Linked DNA regions of Schizosaccharomyces pombe. The protein of the gene in region 1 binds, or shares a complex with, the protein of each later gene. Each region holds a gene or a part of one and is shown in the gene's direction. Other genes may lie near its edges.

What was found.
Region 2: mis16 (region 1) and hat1 share a complex: the UniProt entries of both Schizosaccharomyces pombe proteins name them as parts of the HAT-B complex.

The regions. Positions count from the first base shown.
Region 1 is NC_003421.2:582,135-586,595, forward strand, and holds mis16 (histone H4 chaperone, CENP-A recruiting complex CENP-A chaperone Mis16), read left to right. Parts: upstream 1-1,991; 5' UTR 1,992-2,000; coding exon 2,001-2,085; intron 2,086-2,157; coding exon 2,158-2,263; intron 2,264-2,335; exon of another isoform or gene 2,336-2,351; coding exon 2,352-3,453; 3' UTR 3,454-3,759; downstream 3,760-4,461. Other genes in the region: SPOM_SPCC1672.09 (triglyceride lipase-cholesterol esterase), read left to right, coding at 1-61; SPOM_SPCC1672.11C (P-type ATPase P5 type), read right to left, coding at 3,772-4,461. UniProt on the Schizosaccharomyces pombe protein: Regulatory subunit of the histone acetylase B (HAT-B) complex. The complex acetylates 'Lys-12' of histone H4 which is required for telomeric silencing.
Region 2 is NC_003424.3:1,027,921-1,032,463, forward strand, and holds hat1 (histone acetyltransferase Hat1), read left to right. Parts: upstream 1-2,299; 5' UTR 2,300-2,309; coding exon 2,310-2,367; exon of another isoform or gene 2,368-2,417; coding exon 2,418-2,521; exon of another isoform or gene 2,522-2,582; coding exon 2,583-2,801; intron 2,802-2,890; coding exon 2,891-3,006; intron 3,007-3,077; coding exon 3,078-3,441; intron 3,442-3,497; coding exon 3,498-3,773; 3' UTR 3,774-4,021; downstream 4,022-4,543. Other genes in the region: ssd2 (succinate-semialdehyde dehydrogenase), read left to right, coding at 396-1,877; coronin Crn1, read left to right, coding at 4,262-4,295, 4,338-4,390, 4,439-4,543. UniProt on the Schizosaccharomyces pombe protein: Catalytic component of the histone acetylase B (HAT-B) complex. Acetylates 'Lys-12' of histone H4 which is required for telomeric silencing. Has intrinsic substrate specificity that modifies lysine in recognition sequence GXGKXG.

The DNA.
Region 1 (4,461 bases):
TGATAAAGAAAATCGTGAAATCCAAAAAAATCATATCGCTCCTAGGAATAAACCAATTTAATTTGATTGAATTGAAAGACTTTGCCTCAACACATCTTTTGTATATTTATTATTAGTTAATGTTTTCTACGTTACTATTTTATTATTGCTAGATATCGAATCCCTGATGTTATCCGTTTGTTCAAAAAAAAGAGAGAAAAAGTTTCCTAAAGGCTAAATTTTGCCTTTTTTTACTGATGACCTGTTTGTTCTCAGTTTTGTGATTATTTACGCTTATGCACACCGAAAATTTCATCTTTGAATACTTTGAAGTGTTTGTATTTTTTACTGTCATTAACAAAACCGCATTTGAAGTAGCAGGTTAATAATAATGACTGTTAAGACTGCGGTTCATAAAATTTAATTATTTTGCTTATTGTTTTTTTCAATTTCTTCTGTGCCCCGATTAATTAAGGTGTATCCGACAACCAAGGTTTGGATGCTCGATTATGTAGGCAACACAAAAATTTACATGATATGGATAGATCTTTCATAGAAATACCTCTAAATTTTGATGAATTTACTTTAGCAAGAAAAAAAAAGAATGCAATGTTAAAAACTGTTACAATAATTATAAATATACAATGGGTACCAGAAGTCGCTATGAAAACATCTGAAGTAATAAGATTACGATCAACAACTCAAAACGTGCAAATATACTCCAATTATACTAAATTCCTCTCTTATAATTGATATACTGATATTAATTGCCTCCTCAAAATACTTAGCAAACGCAAGCATTATTCCAAAAAAAAGTCGAGACGAATAACGAGCTAGACCACTGTTGGCATGCATTTTAAGGCAATGCGGTATACAAATTCCTCAGTATATCAAAATAAATAACATTAGAAAGAAAGTACTCATCTGGGAATTTTTTTTTTTTAATTCACAACTATATTTAATAAATATTTTAAATTAAAATCAGTAAATTGCTATGATGAGGTTAAAAGAAATAAGAGACACGATTTGAATTGTACTGTTATCGAATAATTTATCAAGTTAGCATGTTAAAGTTTCCACGACAAGTACCCAAAAGTCTGACTACGTGCTATTAAAGCTAGCTAATCATATAAATTAAAATCAGCCAAAACTCATAGTCATTTCACAAGTTTCTCTTTTCAGCCATTGTTTACATATGAAATTTTACTTAGTCTCCAGAACATCGTTTCTAATACCCTAACCTAAGGTAAAAACCGTCACAACAAATTTACTATATATAGGGTCTGTTCAGTTGATGATTCACCATCATCAGTAGGTTTTAACTTACTTTGTTATATAAGTAAAGTAAAATCAATCCTGAAGTCAAGTATGATGGTTGGAGTCTCCGGACCAAGAAAATGCATCCGTTCCGTCTTCAGCGAAGAATTGAGTGGCTTTCCCGGTCGTTGACTTTTTTCCATGGGTCAAGGATGGGATTGTCTCCCAGACATTTTTAATTAAAAAAAGTTTATATTTGATTAGTTTAGATACGTACCCAAAGTTTGCAATACTACATGATTTGTTTAATAAATTTACGGTGTACTGTAAAACAATTCGTAGAGCCAACAGTATAAATATCCCATTGATGGCTGGGTTCAATAGTTTTATTTTTAGTGTAAATATAATGACAATCTGTTTATCAAAGTATACTGAGATTATAATATTTGTTTTTGCCAAATGGTTTTATAATTATTAGAGCATGATAAAGACGATGTTTGAGGAATTCTTCTCACTATGAATGTCTGTTTTCATGGAGACGTGGCATCAAGTAATGGTTTTTAGAGGCATGTTCAAATTTGTTTTCGCTCATTGAAACTTGTTTTCTATATCGCTGTTCATGAATTTTATTTTATTTTTTTTTTATTTCAGACTTAAGAGTGCGCTAGATTTATTTGGGCATCTTTAAATAATGTAAATTACTTATAACTCCAAAACTTTTAACTTGGCAATCTAGTTTGGGCCATTGTGTAGTTGCCCAAAACATGTCAGAGGAAGTAGTCCAGGATGCACCTCTCGAGAATAATGAACTCAATGCCGAGATAGACTTACAAAAAACAATACAAGAAGGTATGATTAAAGGGAATTCTTCATTAATATATATTATTATGCCGTAATTACTGACGATTATACTCGTTTCAGAATACAAACTTTGGAAACAAAATGTTCCCTTTCTGTATGACTTGGTAATAACCCACGCTTTGGAATGGCCTTCTTTGACAATTCAATGGCTTCCTGACAAAAAAACGTACGTTGCTTGCCAAAGTAGTTAGGCTATGATTATACTGGCCTTTACTTCAAACCATCTCATCAGTTTTCTAACTCGATTCTTGAAGAATACCAGGTACTGATTACTCTATTCAACGTCTTATTCTTGGCACTCACACATCTGGTAATGATCAAAATTATTTACAGATTGCTTCTGTGCAATTACCAAACTTTGATGAGGATACCACCGAGTTTACTCCTTCTACGATTCGAAGAGCACAGGCCACGGGCTCGTATACGATTGAAATTTCACAAAAAATCCCTCACGATGGCGATGTCAATCGTGCTCGTTACATGCCTCAAAAGCCTGAAATCATCGCTACCATGGGAGAAGGAGGAAATGCTTATATTTTTGATACAACTTGTCATGATGCCTTAACTACAGGTGAAGCACTTCCTCAAGCAGTTTTGAAGGGCCATACTGCTGAAGGTTTTGGTCTTTGCTGGAACCCGAATTTACCTGGAAATCTAGCAACAGGAGCAGAGGATCAAGTTATCTGTTTATGGGATGTTCAGACACAATCTTTTACTTCCTCTGAGACAAAAGTCATTTCCCCCATAGCCAAATATCATCGTCATACTGATATTGTTAACGATGTTCAATTTCATCCTCAACATGAGGCATTATTAGCATCGGTGTCGGATGATTGCACTTTGCAAATTCACGATACTCGGTTAAATCCAGAAGAAGAAGCTCCCAAAGTTATTCAGGCTCATTCTAAAGCCATAAATGCCGTTGCCATTAATCCCTTTAATGACTATCTTTTAGCAACAGCCAGTGCTGATAAAACAGTAGCTCTTTGGGACCTCCGTAATCCATATCAACGGTTGCATACCCTGGAAGGACACGAAGATGAGGTATATGGGTTAGAATGGTCACCTCATGATGAACCTATATTGGCATCCAGTTCAACTGATCGCCGTGTTTGTATTTGGGATTTAGAAAAGATTGGAGAGGAACAGACTCCGGAGGATGCCGAGGATGGTTCTCCAGAATTACTATTTATGCATGGAGGCCACACAAATCGCATCTCAGAATTTAGTTGGTGTCCAAACGAGCGTTGGGTGGTTGGAAGTCTTGCCGATGATAATATCCTTCAAATATGGAGCCCTTCTCGTGTCATTTGGGGTCGTGATCATGTTCAGGTTTCTCCTAGGGATCTGGAGTAAAGTTGGCCATAGAAAAAAACCCAAACTCACTTTTCCATCCTTCTACGCTTCATCTGTTTTTTGCAATATTCTTTACAATACAGAGTCATATGGTAATTGACTGCTCTCTTTTTTTCAGCTTTTGTATAATTTAAAACAAATGATCTTCGTCGCCTTGTAAATACATCAAAACTACTGTTATAAATCAGACTACATTTCTATAACACCAGAGATTAAATGTTTTGTTTGACCATGATAAAGTAAAAAGGATAGTAACTATTAATATTATACATAACAGCAAAAAAAATCTATTGAACAACAAAAGGGGGATAATATATCTCAAACTTGTTCATTTTGCAAGTCTGCGAATAGGCGTTTGTATAGTTTCTTCGAAACTTTCGTTCGGCGATTAAGTAAACGATTATTCAGGTGAGATATAAAATTGGTCATAGAAATGAAAATGTAATTTTGACCGCTGGCTGCGAGTAAATAATAAATAACACCAGCGAAGATCAAAAAGTTCTGGAAACTTTTGGACGTAGGCGTAAGTTGGAAAAGTTTCATAAAAAAGTTTTTATGATTTTGAAGTCGTATTAACTTAACGGTCAGGATCAACAAAACAACAACGACAGCTGTAAATGAATAGTTCCTCCAAACTTTTTCTCTGTAAGGAGGTCCTATGCTCAAAACCACTCCAATAAAAATATATTGGAAGCAAGAAATTAAAAACAGAGCAGTTACATCGCTATTTGTAATATTCGTATCTGAGCTATTCGCAGGTGGTGGTATATACCAGGGCTCTCTCCGTACTATCCTTAAGGTTATATATTGAATTATACAAATAAGGACGATTTGACCGATTAGAGGAGATAAAATACGTTTGGAAACCAAATTAGCGGTAGGTCTTTTGTGGGCCAAACGATGATAAGGTCGAGATCTCCCCATGAAAACCGCAATGGGAAGAATAATGACAAGATCAATAAACAAAAACTGGAAGTCTCCAAGATTTGAATTTGTTGTGTACAATAT
Region 2 (4,543 bases), on another chromosome or scaffold:
GTTAGTCTGCCGATATTTACGCAAATTCAATACGCCTTTCTTTTTTTCCAGGGGAAATGTTTGCATACACCAAGAACATGATGTTGAGACGTAAATCTAGTACGGAAAACCAAGATGCATACGTTATGGTTTGATCATTAAATGTCTTGTTGAAAAATTATAAATATGCATCGTTTCTCTCGATGTTTACACTACATTAAAAAAAAGAAATCTGCAGCTTAATTTGAAAACACTAAAAAAACCTGCATTCTTCTTTTTTCCACGAAAGATCTGTTGCTGCTTACGCTATTATTTGTTATTATTATAAATAATAATAACATTTCTATCGATAACTTCGTTTCATATAGTTTTTAACATTTACTCCTTCCCACTTTTTTGTATAATACTCTTCAAAAATGGCCCCTCAATTCAAACGCCCTGAGCTCTTTGGCTTTGATAAGTCTCATGCTCAATCTTTTGTTCAAGGAAAATGGATTTCTTCTCCTAACAACAAAACTTTTGAGGTTGATAACCCAGCTACTGGTGAAATAATCGGTAAAGTGGCCGATGTCTCAGTAGAGGAAACAAAAAAAGCCATCAGTGCCGCTAACGAGGCCTTCAAAACTTATAAAAATTTTACTCATGTCCAACGTAGTCAGTTATTGGAACGCTGGGCAGAGCTTATTATGGAGAACAAAGACGACTTGGTCAAGATGCTTACCTTAGAAAACGGCAAGCCTTTGAGCCAAGCTGAGATGGAGGTCACCACATGTAGCGGATATCTTAAATGGTATGCTGCTGAAGCCGTTCGTACCTTTGGCGATGTAGCTCCTTCCAGCTTACAAAGTCAAAACTTTCTCATCTCCATCAAACAGCCAGTTGGTGTCAGTGCCTTGATTACTCCTTGGAACTTCCCCGCCGCCATGATTGCTCGTAAAGGTGGTGCCGCTTTGGCTGCTGGTTGTACCGCTATTTTCTTGCCTGCTTTCCGCACTCCCTACGTTTGCTTAGGTTTAGTCAGGTTGGCGCAAGAGGCCGGTTTCCCTGACGGTGTCTTAAATGTGATCACTTCTTCTGATGCATCTGCTCATGGTAAAGAACTGACTACCAACCCTATCGTTCGTAAGGTTTCCTTCACTGGTAGTACTAATGTCGGTAAAATTCTTATGGGACAAAGTGCCAGCACAATCAAGAAGGTTTCAATGGAGTTAGGAGGTAATGCCCCTTTCATTGTATTCCCTGACTTCCCCATTGATCAGGCTGTCGAATCTTTCTGCACTATCAAGTTTAACTCTTGTGGTCAAGTTTGTGTCTGCCCTAACAGAGTTTACGTTCACAAGAATGTTTACGACGAATTCGTCAGCAAGCTTACCGAAAAAGTCAAGACCATTAAAGTAGGAGATGGATTTGACTCTTCTTCTGCTGTTGGCCCTTTGATTTCTCAAGATGGATGCAAAAAGGTCAGCAAGCACATTGAAGATGCTGTTTCAAAGGGTGCCAAAATCACTGTTGGTGGAAAGGAGATTTCCTCAAGCAAAGGTTATTTTTTTGAACCAACCGTGCTCTCCGGTGTAACTCAAGACATGTTGGTTGCTAGCGAGGAAACATTCGGCCCACTCGCCTCTGTCTTCAAGTTCGACGACACCGAAGAGGTGATCGAATGGGCTAACGACAGTGATGTTGGCTTGGCCGGTTACGTCTTTACCAATAACTTGTCCACAATGATCCACGTTGCCAAAGAACTAGAGGTGGGTCTTGTAGGTGCCAATATCGAAATGGTTGACGAACCATTTATTTCCTTTGGCGGCATCAAACAGAGCGGTTTTGGCAAGGAAGCCGGTCGTTTGGGCGTTCAAGAATTTATGGTGGTTAAGGAAATCAATCTCAAGACTCTTTAAGGATTTTCGCTTTAGAAAGCTGCATATTATTGAACAAGCAATGATGTCCTCTTTTGGTTAATGACTAAAAAATCCTGATGTTATGACTGTTTTACATGTTTGCGATACAAATCGTATTTTAGTTTAATGATATCAAAAAAATTTAATACCTGAACATCGTGGGTCATCGATGAAGAATGGATTGTTGTGTCAGAAAATCTATACTTGTAGTTATTGTTCTGAGCAATCTGAAAAGTTATAAAGAATTGTAGGTTCTAAAATTGGCAATACTGGAGCTAGAAATCTATATAATAGTAAATATTTTTTAATAATAACAGGTGTAGCACGTGAAATTTTGCGTCGCCTTGTAGTTTGTTACTTCCAACTAGACACATGTATTTTTTGTTGTTTGACTTGAAATAGGGTCAGGTATTCAATTTTCCGTATGCAGTGATGAGTGCTGTTGATGAATGGGTACATAATGCCAATGAATGCATAGAAATTGTACAAGGTATGCTATGTTAAATTATAATGTTTTTACCTTGTGTTAACACCTGTCAGTAAACGAAAAGCATGAAAAAGATTGTCAATACCATCCTAGCAATACATATGCAATATTTGGAGATGCTGAGGTTATTTATGGATATAAAGATCTAAATGTCACTGTAAGATTAAATCAGCAAGTTTTAGTCATGAAATTTGATTGCAAATAGTAACAGTTATTAGATAACCTATGAATGCCCATTGATGGTCCCAAAACTGGAAATCTCATATTCAGAGCGCCTAGCACCAGATTCAGGAGTGGAACCAACTGATATTGAAGGAACATTAAACACTTATCTAAAAGATCGTTCCATTAAGGTTGAAGGAAACTCATTTGACGTTCATTCGGCAAATAGTATTCATAACTATTCCTTTAATGGAAAAACATTCAAGATTTTACAAGTATGTTCGATTACCTTTCAATTGGAGAAGTATTCAATTATTGAATATCCCTATATGTTCTTTGGCTAATAATCGTAATGTATTAATAGGCAACGGTTCTTGAAGCTAGTGAGATTATGCAGCATTTGCAAATATTTTCCTTATTTTTTATTGAAGGGGGCTCTTTTATTGACCTTAATGATCCAAGATGGATGGTATATTTACTGTAAGTTTGTTATTTTCTACGCGTCTACTTTCCTTTTACCTTTTTATCGAGGTTTTATTAACAAAAATAAGTTACGAGACTACTGAAGATGATTATTGCTTACGTGGTTATTGTACTGTATACAAATATTATAAATGGGACAAATTAATTCACGATGGTATTCGAGCTCGTATCTCACAATTCGTGATTTTACCCCCTTTTCAACATCAAGGACACGGTTCGCAATTGTACAATGCTATTGTTAGTACCTTTTTGAAAAATCCTAAAATTTTAGACTTCACAGTTGAGGATGCATCGGAAGCGTTTGATAGCCTTAGAGACCATTGCGACTATAAAAGATTATTATCAATGGGAATATTTTCAGAACCTGACTTTCATCCCTCTCTTTCTAGGCAGTGGATAAACTCGAAAATAGCTGAAACAAAGTTAACCCAGGTTCGTAATTTGCTAAATTTACCATGCAATGCAACTTACTAATTGTCTTTTTTTAGCGTCAATTCTCACGCTGTTGTGAATTAGCATTTACAACGAAACTAAAAAAGCTTTCATTATTGGAGCGGAAATCTGTTAGACTAGGAATAAAGGAAAGGATTTTTCGTCAAAATCTTGATGTGTTGCTACAGTTGGATAAGTCCGAACGTATTGAAAAAATTCATAACGCCTATGAAAATCAGTTTGATGAGTATAAACAGATTGTCAAAAAGCTACCCAAGCTTAAGGAAGATTCGCCTCGAAAACGCCAAAAACTTGCTCAATCTTCTTCCTAAATGAAAACACTTTTAGAGATCTGAAATACTTTGAGAATATTGAAGGCATATTAGCATAAAAAGTTATGAGAATCGACTAAATTACACTATTGGACGCAATTACTTTTTATATAATTTGCTTTTGAAAGCTTTCGCTTGAAATGATTAAAGACATTTGAAACAGTGATCATTTTAATAATATAAATTTTGTATATATTTTGCAAATTTAGTGTGATATCTAGTTTAATAAAATCTATAAAGGCACCTTATAAAAATTCAAACAATTCCTCATAATGAACTGCTTTTTCCAAAATTTAAATATTTTAATATCTACTATCAATAATATTGGTTATTTTCAACGACCAGTACAACTTTAGGTGCTTGTCATTCTCATCCGTCCTCCTTCCTATTCCGATCCCGACTTTGTTCATTACCTGACACCCCGGATAAAGTTAGCTCAATTAGCAAATTCTCATTCGATCTTATAAAGGAATTATTCTTTTTCAAAAATGAGTGGAAGATTTGTGAGAGCTAGTAAATATAGTACGCATGCTTTTTGAGTAAATAATTATTAACTGACGTTAGGACATATCTTTGGACAAACCTGCAAAAAAGAACTTTGCTACGACAACATAAAGGTTGGTCGATACTTTAATGGTTTGAAATTTACTAATTGTCTTCAATAGCTTAGCAATAATGCATGGGATTCTAACCTATTGAGTGTGAACCCCTTTTACCTCAGTGTTAATTGGAATGCGGGAGCTGGAGGTGCATTGGCAGTTATCCCTTTA